Anolis sagrei: one gene and its partner. The protein of the gene in region 1 purifies or fractionates together with the protein of each later gene. This does not show direct contact. Links are inferred from orthologs where the notes say so. Each region holds a gene or a part of one and is shown on either strand. Other genes may lie near its edges.

Region 1 (7,249 bases):
GTAATGATCTACTGCCATGTGTTAAAACTCTGAGAAGCTGTGATTGACTATGGGTTTTCCAAGTCACAGTCAATCACAGAACACACACAAGTGAATATATATATATCAGATCATTATACATGATGCTCTGTCCCACAAATGAAATATTTCCTGTGCAGAAAGATGTAGCATCTCTAAGATGGCCCTTGGCATCAAAGAATTTATCTTTCTCTTGCATATAACCACACATCTCAGACAAATCGAAGTATTTTCCTAAAGACCAATCTCATCCAATCAGTTAAGGATGTTAAGAACCCATCCGCAAGGATGCCTCTACTAGGATTCTCATTTTATCCATCCAACAGAATTCCTTTCCACTGTCAACAAAACTGCCAGAACCATGCACATGGACATAAACCCCTACAAAAAGAATCTATAACCTTCCTTAAAAATGAAAAAAATATTTCCTTCATCACCATATAAAGTGTACCAAGGGTGCTACATATCAGCATAGCAAACCTTAACCACACACCAGTGAAACATCAAGCTCACCTGCCCCCAACCGAAGCTGCAAGCCTCGCAAGTGTAACTACCTGGCAAGACCAATCTGCAAAAATTCCTAGAAATAAACCTTCTCTAACAAAGCAACAAGAACTCCAAAAAGAGCGATCTGTTGGGAGTTTTTTGATTGTGCATTCCTGAACGGCAGAAGGGTTTGGAATGGATGGCCCTTGAAGACCCTTCCAACACAATGATTCTATGAAAATGTATCTACACAAATTAAACACATAGCCCGATGAGATACAAATACACATGCTAGTCTACACCCCCTCTCCAATGAAGCTGAAAGATCCAAAAGAAAAAATAAAAGAATGCAAGAATACTTTATGTTCGTATATGAGTATAGAGTTGGAAGATACTCCAAGGGCCATCCGTTCCAACCCCCTTCTGCCAGGCAGGAAATACAATCATGTCTCTTTAAGAGAGAAAAAGTGGCATATAAAAAAAGATCATCATCATCAAAGCATTCCTGACAGATGACCATCCAGCCTCTGCTTAAAATCTTTGAGAGAAGGCAATTCCAACATGTGTATGGAATTCTTGTAGTGTTGTTTTGTGGTTCTGGCGTGCATGAGGATCAGGTGCAAAAACAAGCGAAACAAGAGACTTTGGCAGGTGAAAGGCAAACATCTTCAAAACTATTGCAAGGAGGCATGGATACAAATTGTGGGAAAAGATATTCCAATTAAACATTAGGAAGAACTTCCTGGTGGAATATGGTGGTGTCTCCCTCTCTAAAGATTTTTAAGCAGAGGCTGGATAACCATCTATCAGGAGGGCTTGGATTTTGTCTTCCTGCCTGGGAGAAGGGTTTTGGACTAGATGGCATTTAGGGTCTTTTCCAACTCTAGGGTTCTATGAGGCAGGACAGCCAACTGTTGAGTGAGCTCGAATTGTGCCTGCTATGGCAGAACGGGTTTGGACTGGGTGACCTTTGAGATCTCTTCTAATGCTAGGATTCTATAATAATATTCATCATCTTTAATAATGATGATGATGGAGTCTCCTGTGTCCATCTGTTGGGAGGGTTTTGATGGTGTCTTGCTTTACGGCACAAAGTGGTTGGAATGGATGACCATTGTGGTCTCTTCCAACTAGGTTCTATATATTGATGATGATGATGATGATGGTCTCCTTCTCTGGAGGCTTTTAAATAGAAGGTGGATAGCCCATTGGGTCTGTTCCAACTCTGGAATTCTATTTTTCAGGGGGTGGATGGCCATCTGCCGGGATGGTTTCAATTGTGCCTCCCTGCCTGGCAGAATGGAGTTGGACTGATTGACTCTACAGTCTATTCCAACACTAGAATCTGATCATTCAGGGGCTGGATGGACATCTGCCAGGAGGGATTTGATTGTGTCCTCCTTTGATGGCAGATGGGAGCTGGACTGGATGGCCCTTGGCGTCTGTTCCAACTCTGGGATTCTCTGATTCAGAGGATGGCCATCTGCCGGGAGGGTTTTGATTGTGCCTCCCTGCCTGGCAGAATGGGGTTGGACTGGATGGCCCTTGGGGTTGGACTGAATGATCTGTTCCAGCTTTAGGATTCTATGATTGAGAGCAGGTATAGGCAAACTTCGGCCCTCCAGGTGTTTTGGATTCCAACTTTCACCATTCCAAATTGTGGAAGTTGAAATCCAAAACACCTAGAGGGCTGAAGTTTGCCCGTCCCCAATTGGGCAAACTGGTTGGGGTTGGATTGGTTGGCCCTATGGGTCTATTCCAACACTAAAAACTTGTTTATTTGGGGGCTGGATAAAATGTGTCCTCCTTTATGGCAGGAGGGGGCAGGACTAGAAGGCCCCTAGGGTCTACTCCAACTCTGGGATTCTATGGTTCAGAGGTTGGATGGCCATCTGCTGGGAAGGTTTTGATTGTGCCTCCCTGCTTGGCAGAATGGGGTTGGACCGGAAGGCCCTTGGGGTCTGTTCCAACTCTGGGATTCTATGACTCAGAGGTTGGATGGCCATCTGCTGGGAGGGTTTTGATTGTGCCTCCCTGCCTGGCAGAAGGGGTTGGACTGGATGGCCCTTGGGGTCTGTTCCAACTCTGGGATTCTATGATTCTGAGATTGGATGGCCATCTGCCGGGAGGGTTTCGATTGTGCCTCCCTGCCTGGTAGAATGGAGTTGGAATGATTAACCCTAAAGTCTGTTCCAATGCTAGGATCCAATCATTCTGAGGCTGGATGGACATCTGCCAGGAGGGATTTGATAGTGTCCTCCTTTGATGGCAGTTGGGGGCTGGACTGGATGGATTTTCTATTATGCAGAGGATGGCCATCTGTTGGGAGGGTTTTGATTGTGCCTCCCTGCCTGGCAGAACGGGGTTGGACTGGATGGCCCTTGGCGTCTGTTCCAACTCTGGGATTCTATGATTCAGAGGTTGGATGGCCATCTGTTGGGAGGGATTTGATTGTGCCTCCCTGCCTGGCAGAATGGGGTTGGACTGGTTGGCCCTAAGGGTCTATTCCAACACTGGAATCCTGTTTATTTGGGGGCTGGATAAAATGTGTCCTCCTTAATGGTAGGAGGGGGTAGGACTGGACGGCCCTTAGGGTCTGTTCCAACTCTGGGATTCTCTGATTCAGAGGTTGGATGGCCATCTGCCGGGAAGTTTTTGATTGTGCCTCCCTGCCTGGCAGAATGGGGTTGGACTGGATGTCCCTTGGGGTCTGTTCCAACTCTGGCATTCTCTGATTCAGAACTTGGATGGCCATCTGCTGGGAGGGTTTTGATTGTGCCTCCCCGCCTGGCAGAATGGGCTTGGACTGGCTGGCCCTACGGATCTATTCCAACACTGTTTATTTGGAGGGTGGATAAACGGTGCCTTCTTCCTTTCTGGCAGGAGGGGGCAGGGCTGGATGGCCTTTGGGGTTCCCTTTCCAGGGTGTCCACACCCCTCGCGGCCAAATCCCCGCCAGAAGGCAGCCACACACGCCCCGCGAGGGGTTCCACCCCCGGAGGAGAGGCTGGGCCTGCCTCCAGTGAGCGACTCCGGCTGTCAGGCTCCGCCAAGGCCCCGAGGCCTAGCTGTCACAGGGTCCCCGCTCTCTCCTCTCGCTCAGGCCTGGCCGACCCCCGCCTCGCCACTCACCGAACGGCAGCAGCGAGGCATCCTCCTCCTCCTCCTCCTCCGCGCCGCCTCATCCTCCAGGCCGCGAGCGGGGCCACCTGCCTGAGGCGGAGACAAGGCCCGAGCCAGGCCCGAGGCGCGGCAAACTCGGCTCCGGCGGGCCAAACAGCCCCGCGCTCTCTCTGGCTGGGCGCTGAGGGCGGCCGCAGATCCAAAATGGCGGCAACGGTGTAGTAAGCCGCGGCCGTAAGGCAGGCAAGGCAGGCAGGCGGGGAAGCCTCCTTACCTCAGCCAGCGCGCGCGCGCCTCCTGCGTCGCGTGCGCGGGACACGCTCGAGCCGCCGCCGCCGCCGCCTCGCGCACTCTCCCCGCCAACGCGCGTGCGCCAGGGAGCGCGCCTTGGCCACGCCCACCACTCTCCCCCCCCCTCTCTCTCTGCTTGGTTGTAACGACCTTCTCCTCTTTCTGTCAATCAACCGCCCCGCCGGCCAATCACATCTCCCTCCCTTTCGCGCGCGCCCTTCTGCCTGCCTTCGCCTTGACCATCACACTACCCACACACGCCTCAACCTGCCAACCAAGCTTCACAGACCCAAGCAAGTATTCAAATACGTATTTTTTTTTTGGAGGAAGGAAGTATGTCCCTTCAGGCTTTCCGTAGGTAAAGCAAGGAAAGGGATGCTTTGCTCACGCCGTCGAGCAGTAAAGATGGCGGCGCCCAGGAGAGCAAAGTTATAGCGTTCTGGAGGGAGATCTTTTGGCCAAGCAGGTAGGTGGCTCCTCATAGTACTCAGGCTATTTATTATTTATGTGTTTAGTTTACTAGCCGTCCCCTGCCACGGGTTGCTGTTGAGCTCTGTGAGTGCAACATTTTTTTCCGAATGAAGCAGAGAGTATTTGAGGACATCTGAAGGGATACCAAGATGCTTGTTTATAAAGGTTCTTGTGGGTTTTTTCGGGCTATAGGGCCATGTGCTAGAGGCATTTCTCCTGACGTTTCGCCTACATCTATGGCATCTATGGCAAGCATCCTCAGAGGTAGTGAGGTCAACAGACCTCACTACTTCTGAGGATGCTTGCCATAGATGCAGGTGAAACGTCAGGAGAAATGCCTCTAGAACATGGCCCTATAGCCCGAAAAAAACCCACAAGAACCTAGTGATTCCAGCCACGAAAGCCTTCGACAATACCTTGTTTATAAAGCTACTAGCCGTGCCCTGCCACGAGTTGCTGTGGCCCACATGGGGGTTCTGTGTGGGAGGTTTGGACCAATTCTATCGGTGGGGTTCAGGATGCTCTGTGATTGTAGGTGAACTATAAATCCCAGCAACTACAACTCCCAAATGTCAAGGTTCTATTTTCCCCAAACTCCACCAGTGTTCACATTTGGGCATATTGAGTATTCTTGTAGAGTTTGGTCCAGATCCATCATTGTTTGAGCCCACAGTGCTCTCTGGATGTAGGTGAACTACAACTCCAAAACCAAAGAACACTGCCCACCAAACCCTTCCAGTATTTCTGTTGGTCAGGGGAGAACTGTGTGCCAAGTTTGGTTCAATTCCATCGTTGGTAGGGTTCAGAATGCTCTTTGATCATGTTGTTCATTCGTTCCGACTCTTCGTGACGTCATGGACCAGCCCACGCCAGAGCTCCCTGTCGGCCGTCACCACCCCCAGCTCCTTCAAGGTCAGTCCAGTCACTTCAAGGATGCCATCCATCCATCTTGCCCTTGGTCGGCCCCTCTTCCTTTTGCCTTCCACTTTCCCCAGCATCATTGTCTTCTCTAGGCTTTGCTGTCTCCTCATGATGTGGCCAAAGTACTTCAACTTTGTCTCTAGTCTCCTTCCCTCCAGTGAGCAGCCGGGCTTTATTTCCTGGAGGATGGACTGGTTGGATCTTCTCGCAGTCCAAGGCACTCTCAGAACTTTCCTCCAACACCAGAGTTCAAAAGCATCTATCTTTCTTCGTTCAGCCTTCCCTAAGGTCCAGCTCTCACATCCGTAGGTTACTACAGGGAATACCATGGCTTTGACTAGGCGGATCTTTGATCATAGGTGAACTATAAATCCCGGCAACTACAACTCCCAAATATCAAGATTCTATTTTCCCCAAACTCCACCAGTGTTCACATTTGGGCATATTGAGTATTCTTGGAGAGTTTGGTCCAGATCCATCATTGTTTGAGTCCACAGTGCTCTCTGGATGTAGGTGAACTACAACTCCAAAACCAAAGAACACTGCCCACCAAACCCTTCCAGTATTTCTGTTGGTCAGGGGAGAACTGTGTGCCAAGTTTGGTTCAATTCCATCGTTGGTAGGGTTCAGAATGCTCTTTGATCATGTTGTTCATTCGTTCCGACTCTTCGTGACCTCATGGACCAGCCCACGCCAGAGCTCCCTGTCGGCCGTCACCACCCCCAGCTCCTTCAAGGTCAGTCCAGTCACTTCAAGGATGCCATCCATCCATCTTGCCCTTGGTCGGCCCCTCTTCCTTTTGCCTTCCACTTTCCCCAGCATCATTGTCTTCTCTAGGCTTTGCTGTCTCCTCATGATGTGGCCAAAGTACTTCAACTTTGTCTCTAGTCTCCTTCCCTCCAGTGAGCAGCCGGGCTTTATTTCCTGGAGGATGGACTGGTTGGATCTTCTCGCAGTCCAAGGCACTCTCAGAACTTTCCTCCAACACCAGAGTTCAAAAGCATCTATCTTTCTTCGTTCAGCCTTCCCTAAGGTCCAGCTCTCACATCCGTAGGTTACTACAGGGAATACCATGGCTTTGACTAGGCGGATCTTTGATCATAGGTGAACTATAAATCCCGGCAACTACAACTCCCAAATATCAAGATTCTATTTTCCCCAAACTCCACCAGTGTTCACATTTGGGCATATTGAGTATTCGTGTCGAGTTTGGTCCAGATCCATCATTGTTTGAGTCCACAGTGTTCTCTGGATGTAGGTGAATTACAACTCCAAAACCAAAGGACACTGCTCACCAAAGAGTTGGAAATGTTCAGCCTGCAGAAGAGAAGGTTGAGAGGAGACATGAGATCCAGGTTTAAATATTTGAAAGGATGTCATAAGGTTTGTTCAACAGTGAGAGATGGGATTGCTTCAGGTATGCCCACGTTGTGGAAGCATGCCCTCCCCAATTGCTGATCATTTTTAATGGTATGTCAGAGCATAGGCCTTTGAGAATTACTTTTTATACCAAATAAATGAAAATATACACAAATACCGTATATACTCAAGTATAAGCCAACCCAAATATAAGCCGAGGCACCTAATTTTACCACAAAAAACTGAGGAAGCGTATTGACTCGAGTAAAAGCTGAGGGCGGGAAATGCAACAGCTACTGGTAAATTTCAAAATAAAAATAGATTCCAATAAAATTACATTAATTGAGGCATCCGTAGGTTCAATGTTTTGGAATATTTTCATAAAACTGTAATTTAAGATAAAACTCTCCAACTACAATTAAACCATTATTCTAACCTCCTTCAATGCAAAGGATATCTAATTTGGACCATATGTCCAACTTAGATATCCTTCTAATAATAATAGAGTAGAATAACAAATGTAATAATAATAATAATAGAGTAAAATAATGGAAATGTAATAATAGTGATCCCCCCGGTG
Region 2 (7,712 bases), on another chromosome or scaffold:
AAGGGGGAAAGTCTGAGGGAAGGAAGGCAAGGAAGAAGAGAAAGGAAAGAAGGGACCAAGGCGGAAGAGAGGAAAAAGAAGGGAAGAGAAAGGAAGAAAGAACAAAGAAGGAGAAAGGAAAGAAAGAGCCACAGAATAAAGCCAAACCCAGGCCAGAAGACATAGATGGAGGCCAGGAAACTATACAAAGTTTGGCCCTAAGGAAGAGAAAGAAAAGTAGGGAGAAGTGAGGAAGGAAGAGAAAACGTAATCATGTGCCACGGAGAAAAGCTAAACCCAGGCCAGCGGATATAGAGATATCTCTGTATAAATAAATAGATACAGAGAGAGGGCAGGAAACTGTTCAAATCCAAAGGTTGGCACAGCTGTGAGGCCTAGTAGTAGTAGCCATGCCCAGCTTCGAGATAAGGGAGGGAAGAAAGAAAGGAAAAAGAGGGAAGAGAAAGGAAAGAAAGGGGGGAAAGTCTGAGGAAAGTAAGGAAGAAGAGAGGAAGGCGGAAGAGGGAAATGGAGAAAGGAAAGAATGAGAGGGAGAAGTGAGGAAGGAAAAGAAAGGAAAGGAGGAAAAGTCTGAGGGGAGAAATGAAAGAAGGAAAGAAAAAAAGAAAGTGAGGGAGGAGTGAGGAAGGAAGAAAGAAAAAGGAGGGAAGAGAAAGGAAAGAAAGGGGAAAAGTCTGAGGAAAGGAAGGAAGAGAGGTAGGTGGAAGAGGGAAATGGAGAAAGGAAAGAATGAGAGGGAGAAGGGAGGAAAGAAAAGAAAGGAGGAAAGGAAGGAAGAAGAGAGGAAGGTGGAAGAGGGAAATGGAGAAAGGAAAGAATGAGAGGGAAAAGGAAGAGAAAGGAAAGGGGGAAAGTCTGAGGGGAGAAATGAAAGAAGGAAAGAAAAAGAGAAAGGGAGGGAGGAGTGAGGAAAGAAGGAAAGAAAAATGAGGGTAGAGAAAGGAAAGAAAGGGGAAAAGTCTGAGGAAAGGAAGGAAGAGAGGTAGGTGGAAGAGGGAAATGGAGAAAGGAAAGAATGAGAGGGAGAAGTGAGGAAGGAAAAGAAAGGAAAGGAGGAAAAGTCTGAGGGGAGAAATGAAAGAAGGAAAGAAAAAAAGAAAGTGAGGGAGGAGTGAGGAAGGAAGAAAGAAAAAGGAGGGAAGAGAAAGGAAAGAAAGGGGAAAAGTCTGAGGAAAGGAAGGAAGAGAGGTAGGTGGAAGAGGGAAATGGAGAAAGGAAAGAATGAGAGGGAGAAGGGGGAAGGAAAAGAAACGAAAGGAGGAAGTCTGAGGGGAGAAATGAAAGAAGGAAAGAAAAAGAGGAAGGGAGGGAGAAGGGAAGGAAGAAAAAGAAGGGAAGAAAGTCTGGGGAAAGGAAGGAAGAAGGAAGAGAGGTAGGCGGAAGAGGGAAATGGAGAAAGGAAAGAAAGAGAGAGAAGTGAGGAAGGAAAAGAAAGGAGGAAAGTCTGAGGGGAAAAGGAGGGAAGAGAAAGGAAAGAAAGGGGAAAAGTCTGGGGAAAGGAAGGAAGAAGAGAGGAAGGTGGAAGAGGGAAATGGAGAAAGGAAAGAATGGGAGGGAGAAGTGTGGAAGGAAAAGAAAGGAAAGGGGGAAAGTCTGAGGGGAGAAAGAAAAAGAGAAGGAAAGGGGGGAGGGAGGGAGGAAGGAAGAAAAAGGAGGGAAGAGAAAGGAAAAAAAAGGGGGGAAGTCTGGGGAAAGGAAGAAAGAAGAGGGGAAGGTGGAAGAGGGAAATGGAGAAAGGCAAGAATGAGAGGGAGAAGGGAGGAAGGAAAAGAAAGGAAAGGAGGAAGTCTGAAGGGAAAAGGAGGAAAGAGAAAGGAAAGAAAGGGTAAAAGTCTGGGGAAAGGAAGGAAGAAGCAAGAGAGAAATGGAGAAAGGAAAGAATGAGAGGGAAAAGGAAGAGAAAGGAAAGGAGGAAAGGTCTGAGGGGAGAAATGAAAGAAGGAAAGAAAAAGAGAAAGGGAGGGAGAAGGGAAGGAAGAAAAAGGAGGGAAGAGAAAGGGAAGAAAGGGGGGAAAGTCTGGGGAAAGGAAGGAAGAAGAGAGAAATGGAGAAAGGAAAGGATGAGAGGGAAAAGGAAGAGAAATGAAAAGGGGGAAAAGTCTGAGGGGAGAAATGAAAGAGGGAAAGAAAAAGAAAAGACAGGGAGTGAGGAAGGAAGGAAGAAAAAAGAGAGAAGAGAAAGGAAAGGGGGAAAGTCTGAGGAAAAGAAGGGAAAATAAGGGAGGAAAGGAAGAGCCAGAGAGAGAGAGAGAGGCCAAAGGCTGGCTCGAGATGTGAGGCCTAGCAGTAGGCCCGAAGCCTTTCTTCTGCCCAGATCCCGCGCACGCGCACATGGAGGCACACGCACACAAAGGCTGCGCGCGCACCGGCGGCTCCCCCCTCCCGAGACCCCGCCCTCCCCCACCTGGGCCACGCCTCCTTGCTTTGGCGCACGCGCGCTGGAGGCGAAGGGAAAACGAGGCGAGGCCGCCCCCTCCTCCTCCTCCTCCAACGGCTGCTGCACGCGCTCAGGGGCAGCCAGCCAATCAGAGGCGCGGGGGGCGCAGAGAGGAGCCAATGGGAGCCCGGGAAGGGGCAGGGCAGGCCGGAGGGGAAGGGGCGCGCCTGCGCAGTGCCTCACCGATGACCTTCTTGTCCCCGCCGGCAGGGGGCGCTGCGGAGCCGTGGTGGTGGTTGCTGCCATTGCCATTCCCGCCATTGCCGCCGCCATTGCCATTGTTGTTGCCGCCGCCTCCTCCGCTGGGCTTGGCTTCGGGAGAAGCGGGGGCGGCGGGCTCGGGCGGCGCGGCGGGCGGAGAGGAAGACGAGGAGGCGTTGGAGGGCGGCGGGGGCGGCGCCTGGGTCTCGGCCTCGCTGCTCATGGCGGCACGGCTCGCCCGCTTCTCCTTCGGATGGTGACTCGAGGGGCGGGCGGGCGGGTCTCTGCTCCCTGGCTCCGGGCTCGCTCTCCGCTCCCGATCCCGATCGAACTGGCCCACAATGGCGGCGCGCGAGGGCTTAGCCACCCCGCACGCCCCGCCCCCGCCTCCCCCTCGCCCCATTGGCCCGCCCCGCTGCCGCTCAAGCCGCCCGCCCTTCCCATTCGCCCGCTCCTCGCCCTTCCCCGCCCCCTTTCGGGGGCTCCCCCGCTCTGATTGGCTCCACGACCCTCCGTGGCTGCAGGGACTTTGATTGGTCGCTTTGCCATGCCGATCAAAAGGTTCCCCCGCTCTGATTGGCTCCACGCGTCCCTTGGCCCCGCCTAACAAAAAATCCCCGCTCGGCTATGGGCTTTTCTCGCGTAGTGACTCTTATTGGTCGGGGCTTAATGCCAATCAAAGCGGTCCGCTACTCTGATTGGCTCCACACGTTCCTTGGCCCCGCCTAACCAAATTTCCCGCTCGGCTATGGGCTTGTGACTCTTATTGGTCGACATATAATGCCAATCAAAGCGTCTCGCTACTCTGATTGGCTCTACACTTTGCTTGGTCCCGCCTAACAAAATTCCCCGCTCGGCTATGGGCTTGTGACTTATTGGTCGACACGTAATGCCAATCAAAGCGTTCCGCTATCCTCATTGGCTCTACACGTTGCTTGGCCCCGCCTAACAAAAATCCCCCCTCGGCTATGGGCTTTACTCCCGCAGTGACTCCTATTGGTCGGGGTTTAATGCCAATCAAAGCGGTCCGCTACTCTGATTGGCTGTACACGTTCATTGGACCCGCCTACCAAAAAATCCCCGCTCACTCGCGCACTGACTCTTATTGGCCGGCACGTAGTGCCAATCAAAGCGGTCCGCTGCTCGGATTAGCTCCACACGTCCCTTGGCCCCGCCTAACAAAAAATTCCCGCCCGGCTATGGGCTTGACTCGCGCAGTGACTCTTATTGGTCGGCACGTAATGCCAATCAAAGCGGCCCGCCACTCCGATTGGCTTCACGACGTTTCTTAGTCCCGCCTACCAAAAAAATCCCTCGGCCATGGGCTGTCCTCTTGCGGTGGCTCTTATTGGTTGGCATGCAATGTCAATCTAAGCGGTCTGCCGCTCTGATTGGCTCCAAGGGTTTCATTAGCCCCGCCTGTCAAAATCCTCGCTTGGCCATGGGCTGTTCTCCCGCGGCCACGCAATGCCAATCAAAGCAGTCCGCAACTCTGATTGGCTCCACGTCCCTTCTTGGACCCACCCGCCCATGCGCTGCCCTCCCGCGGTGACTCCTATTGGCCGTCGTTTTATGCCAATCAAAGGGGTCCCGCACTTCGATTGGCTTTGCCTGATAGGACCCACCTATACCAATTCCCCGCCTTGATTGGCTTTAGGTCGCTCCTTGGACCCGCCCATGCAAACACCCGCTCGACTATTGGCCGGCACGTGAAGCCAATCAGGGCACCCGCCACCCCGATTGGCTCGACGTTGCCCCTTGATCCCGCCCATCAAATCCCTAATTCGGCCACTCGATTGGCTGCCACCCATTGCCAGTCAGCCAATCCCTCCTCTCCCTGTGCTCTGGCCTTGGCTGCCCTCCCGCGGGTGATTCCATTGGGCGGCACTCAATGCCAATCAAGAGGTCCCACTGTCCCGATTGGCTCTTCCTCTCTCCTTGGCCCCGCCCGTCGAAAGCTCCGCCTGGAACCTCGCAGCTGATTGGGCGAGAGCTCCAACGAAGCCACGCCTGCGGAAGTTGGATTGCCACTGCTTCTCTGCGGGGAGCACGTGGCCACAGGCGGCCTTCCAAGCCATGCTTCCCTTGGCTCAGCCTCTCAAGGCCAGAGATGGGGAAACCAAGAATAATATAGAATAATCATAGAATAATAATATATAATAATAATCATAGAATAATGTATAATGAGAATATATAATAACATAATAATCTGTAACGAAAATATAATAAAACAATGAGAAAATATTGTATATAATATAATAACCTATAATTTTATATATTAACATATTTAATATATTAATATTTATAATATATAATATAATCTATAATAATGAATATAGCATAGTTACCTCCTGGGCCATCCAGTCCAACCCCATTCTGCCAAGAAGCAGGAATATTGCATTCAAATCACCCCTGACAGATGGCCATCCAGCCTCTGCTTAAAAGCTTCCAAAGGAGGAGCCTCCACCACACTCCGGGGCAGAGAGTTCCACTGCTGAACGGCTCTCACAGTCAGGAATTTCTTCCTCGTGTTCAGGTGGAATCGCCTCTCTTGTAGTTTGAAGCCATTGTTCCCTTGCGTCCTAGTCTCCAAGGAAGCAGAAAACAAGCTTGCTCCCTCCTCCCTGTGGCTTCCTCTCACATATTTTACATGGCTATCCTATCCCCTCTCAGCCTTCTCTTCCTCAGGCTAAACTCCTTAAGCCGCTCCTCATAGGGCTTGTTCTCCAGACCTTTGATCATTTTAGTCGCCCTCCTCTGGACACATTCCAGCTTGTCAATATCTCTCTTGAATTGTGGTGCCCAGAATTGGACACAATATTCCAGGTGTGGTCTAACCAAAGCGGAATAGAGCATGGGGAGCATGACTTCCCTAGATCTAGACAGTATATAATCTATTATAATGTAGTATAATTATAAAATGATCTATAAATACAATATATAAATTAAAATATAATGTAATATAATATATAATCTCTAATGAGTATAGTATAAAATAATAAAATAATTTATAATAATATTAATATATATACGTATTTATAATATAAATATAATATATTTGCAATATATAATGTAGTCTAGAATAATGAATATAGTATAATTATAAAGTAATGTATAATTATAATAACATAATATAAGCTATAATATCCATTGGCATAAACATGGGTTGAATACACTAACAGGGAATGGCACGGAGCAGCCAGGAAAAGGAGCCTTTAAAATCCCTCCCCTTTACTATCTATCTGTATTGGGAAGGCTTTCGTGGCCGGAATCATTGGGTTCTCGTAGGTTTTTCGGTCTGTCTGGCCATGTTCCAGAAGCATTCTCTCCAGGCGTTTCACCCACATCTATGGCAGACACCTGCCTCATAGGAAACCTGCTACCAAACAGGAGCTTCTTTGTTGAGTTCCAGGACCAGAGAAGCAGATGGCGGAAACAGAAGAACGGCCTGCCTCAGGGGAGCGTGCTTGCTCCATCCATGTTCAACATCTACACAAATGACCAGCCACTGCCAGAAGGGACAGAGAGTTTCATCTATGCTGATGATCGTGCCATCACCGCTCAAGCAGGGAGCTTTGAGATGGTTGAACAGAAGCTCTCTGAAGCTCTAGGTGCTCTTACTGCCTATTACAGGGAAAACCAGCTGATCCCTAATCCATCTAAAACACAGACATGTGCCTTTCATCTCAAGAACAGAGAAGCATCCTGAGCTCTGAAGATCACCTGGGAAGGAATCCCACTGGAGCATTGCAGCACACCCAAATACCTGGGAGTCACTCTGGACCGTGCTCTGACCTACAAGAAGCACTGCCTGAACATCAAGCAAAAAGTGGGTACTAGAAACAATATCATACAAAAGCTGACTGGCACAGCCTGGGGATCACAACCAGACACAGTGAAGACATCTGACCTTGCTGCTGAGTTACTCTGCTGCTGAGTATGCATGCCCAGTGTGGAAAACATCTCACCATACTAAAACAGTGGATGTGACTCTTAATGAGACATGCCACATTATCACAGGGTGTCTGCGCCCTACACCACTGGAGAAATTACACTGTTTAGCCGGTATTGCACCACCTGACTGACATCCGCCGGGAAGTGGCAGCCAATAGTGAAAGGACCAAGGCAGAGACATCTCCAGCTCATCCCTTGTTTGGGTATCAGCCAGCACGTCAACGACTTAAATCTAGACATAGTTTTATAAGATCTACAGAGACACTCGCTGGAACACCTCAGCAAGCAAGAGTCCAAAAGTGGCAGGCTCAAACCCAGCACCTCAACCAATGGCTGATACCAGATGAGAGACTCCCCCCTGGGCACACAGAAGACTGGGCGACTTGGAAGGCGCTGAACAGACTGCGCTCGGGCACCACGAGATGCAGAGCCAACCTTCAGAAATGGGGCTACAAAGTAGAATCCTCGGCATGTGAGTGCGGAGAAGAGCCAACCACTGACCACCTGCTGCAATGCACCCTGAGCCCCGCCACATGCACAATGGAGGACTTCCTTGCAGCAACACCAGAGGCACTCCAAGTGGCCAGATAGTGGTCAAAGGACATTTAGCCAGTTACCAAACTCACAAGTTGTGTATTTTTCTGTTTGTTTGCTTTGTTCTGTTAGAAATGTAATATAATGGACTGGCTGCTCTGACACGACAAATAAACCCCAGAGGTTGTGAGGTCTGTTCGAAACTAGGAAAATGGGGTTTATATACCTATGGAATGATGTCCAGGGTGAGAGAAAGAACTCCTGTCTGTTGGGGGTAGGTGAGAATGTAGCAATTGGCAAACGTGATTAACATTTAATGACCTAGCAGTTTCAAGGTCTGGCTTCTTACTGCCTGGGGGGAATCCTTCGTTAGGAGGTGTTAGCTGTCCCTGATTGTTTCTTGTCTGGAATTCCCCTGTTTTTGAGTGTTGTTCTTTATCTACTGTTATGATTGTATGTTATTTATTCCGGCTTCCTGCCTGTCTCTGCGTATTCCAAAGGGAGAGGCAGGGAATGACACAAATCCCTTTTATTTACAAGGGGGAAGGAATACAAAAAGAGGACGCGGCGATGATGAAGACAACGA

The links. Proteins that work in one complex are often made in the same cells at the same time.
Region 2: the proteins of DAP3 (region 1) and YBX1 purify together in Homo sapiens (co-immunoprecipitation; 3 studies listed by BioGRID and IntAct, with this or other methods). This does not show direct contact. The link is inferred for Anolis sagrei from reciprocal best matches to the Homo sapiens genes DAP3 and YBX1.

Annotation. Positions count from the first base shown.
Region 1 is NC_090032.1:8,027,677-8,034,925, forward strand, and holds the start of DAP3 (small ribosomal subunit protein mS29), read left to right. Parts: upstream 1-4,036; 5' UTR 4,037-4,211; exon of another isoform or gene 4,212-4,384; intron 4,385-7,249. UniProt on the Homo sapiens protein: As a component of the mitochondrial small ribosomal subunit, it plays a role in the translation of mitochondrial mRNAs. Involved in mediating interferon-gamma-induced cell death. Displays GTPase activity in vitro.
Region 2 is NC_090033.1:17,323,551-17,331,262, reverse strand, and holds the start of YBX1 (Y-box-binding protein 1), read right to left. Parts: upstream 3,057-7,712; 5' UTR 3,042-3,056; coding exon 2,621-3,041; intron 1-2,620. UniProt on the Homo sapiens protein: DNA- and RNA-binding protein involved in various processes, such as translational repression, RNA stabilization, mRNA splicing, DNA repair and transcription regulation.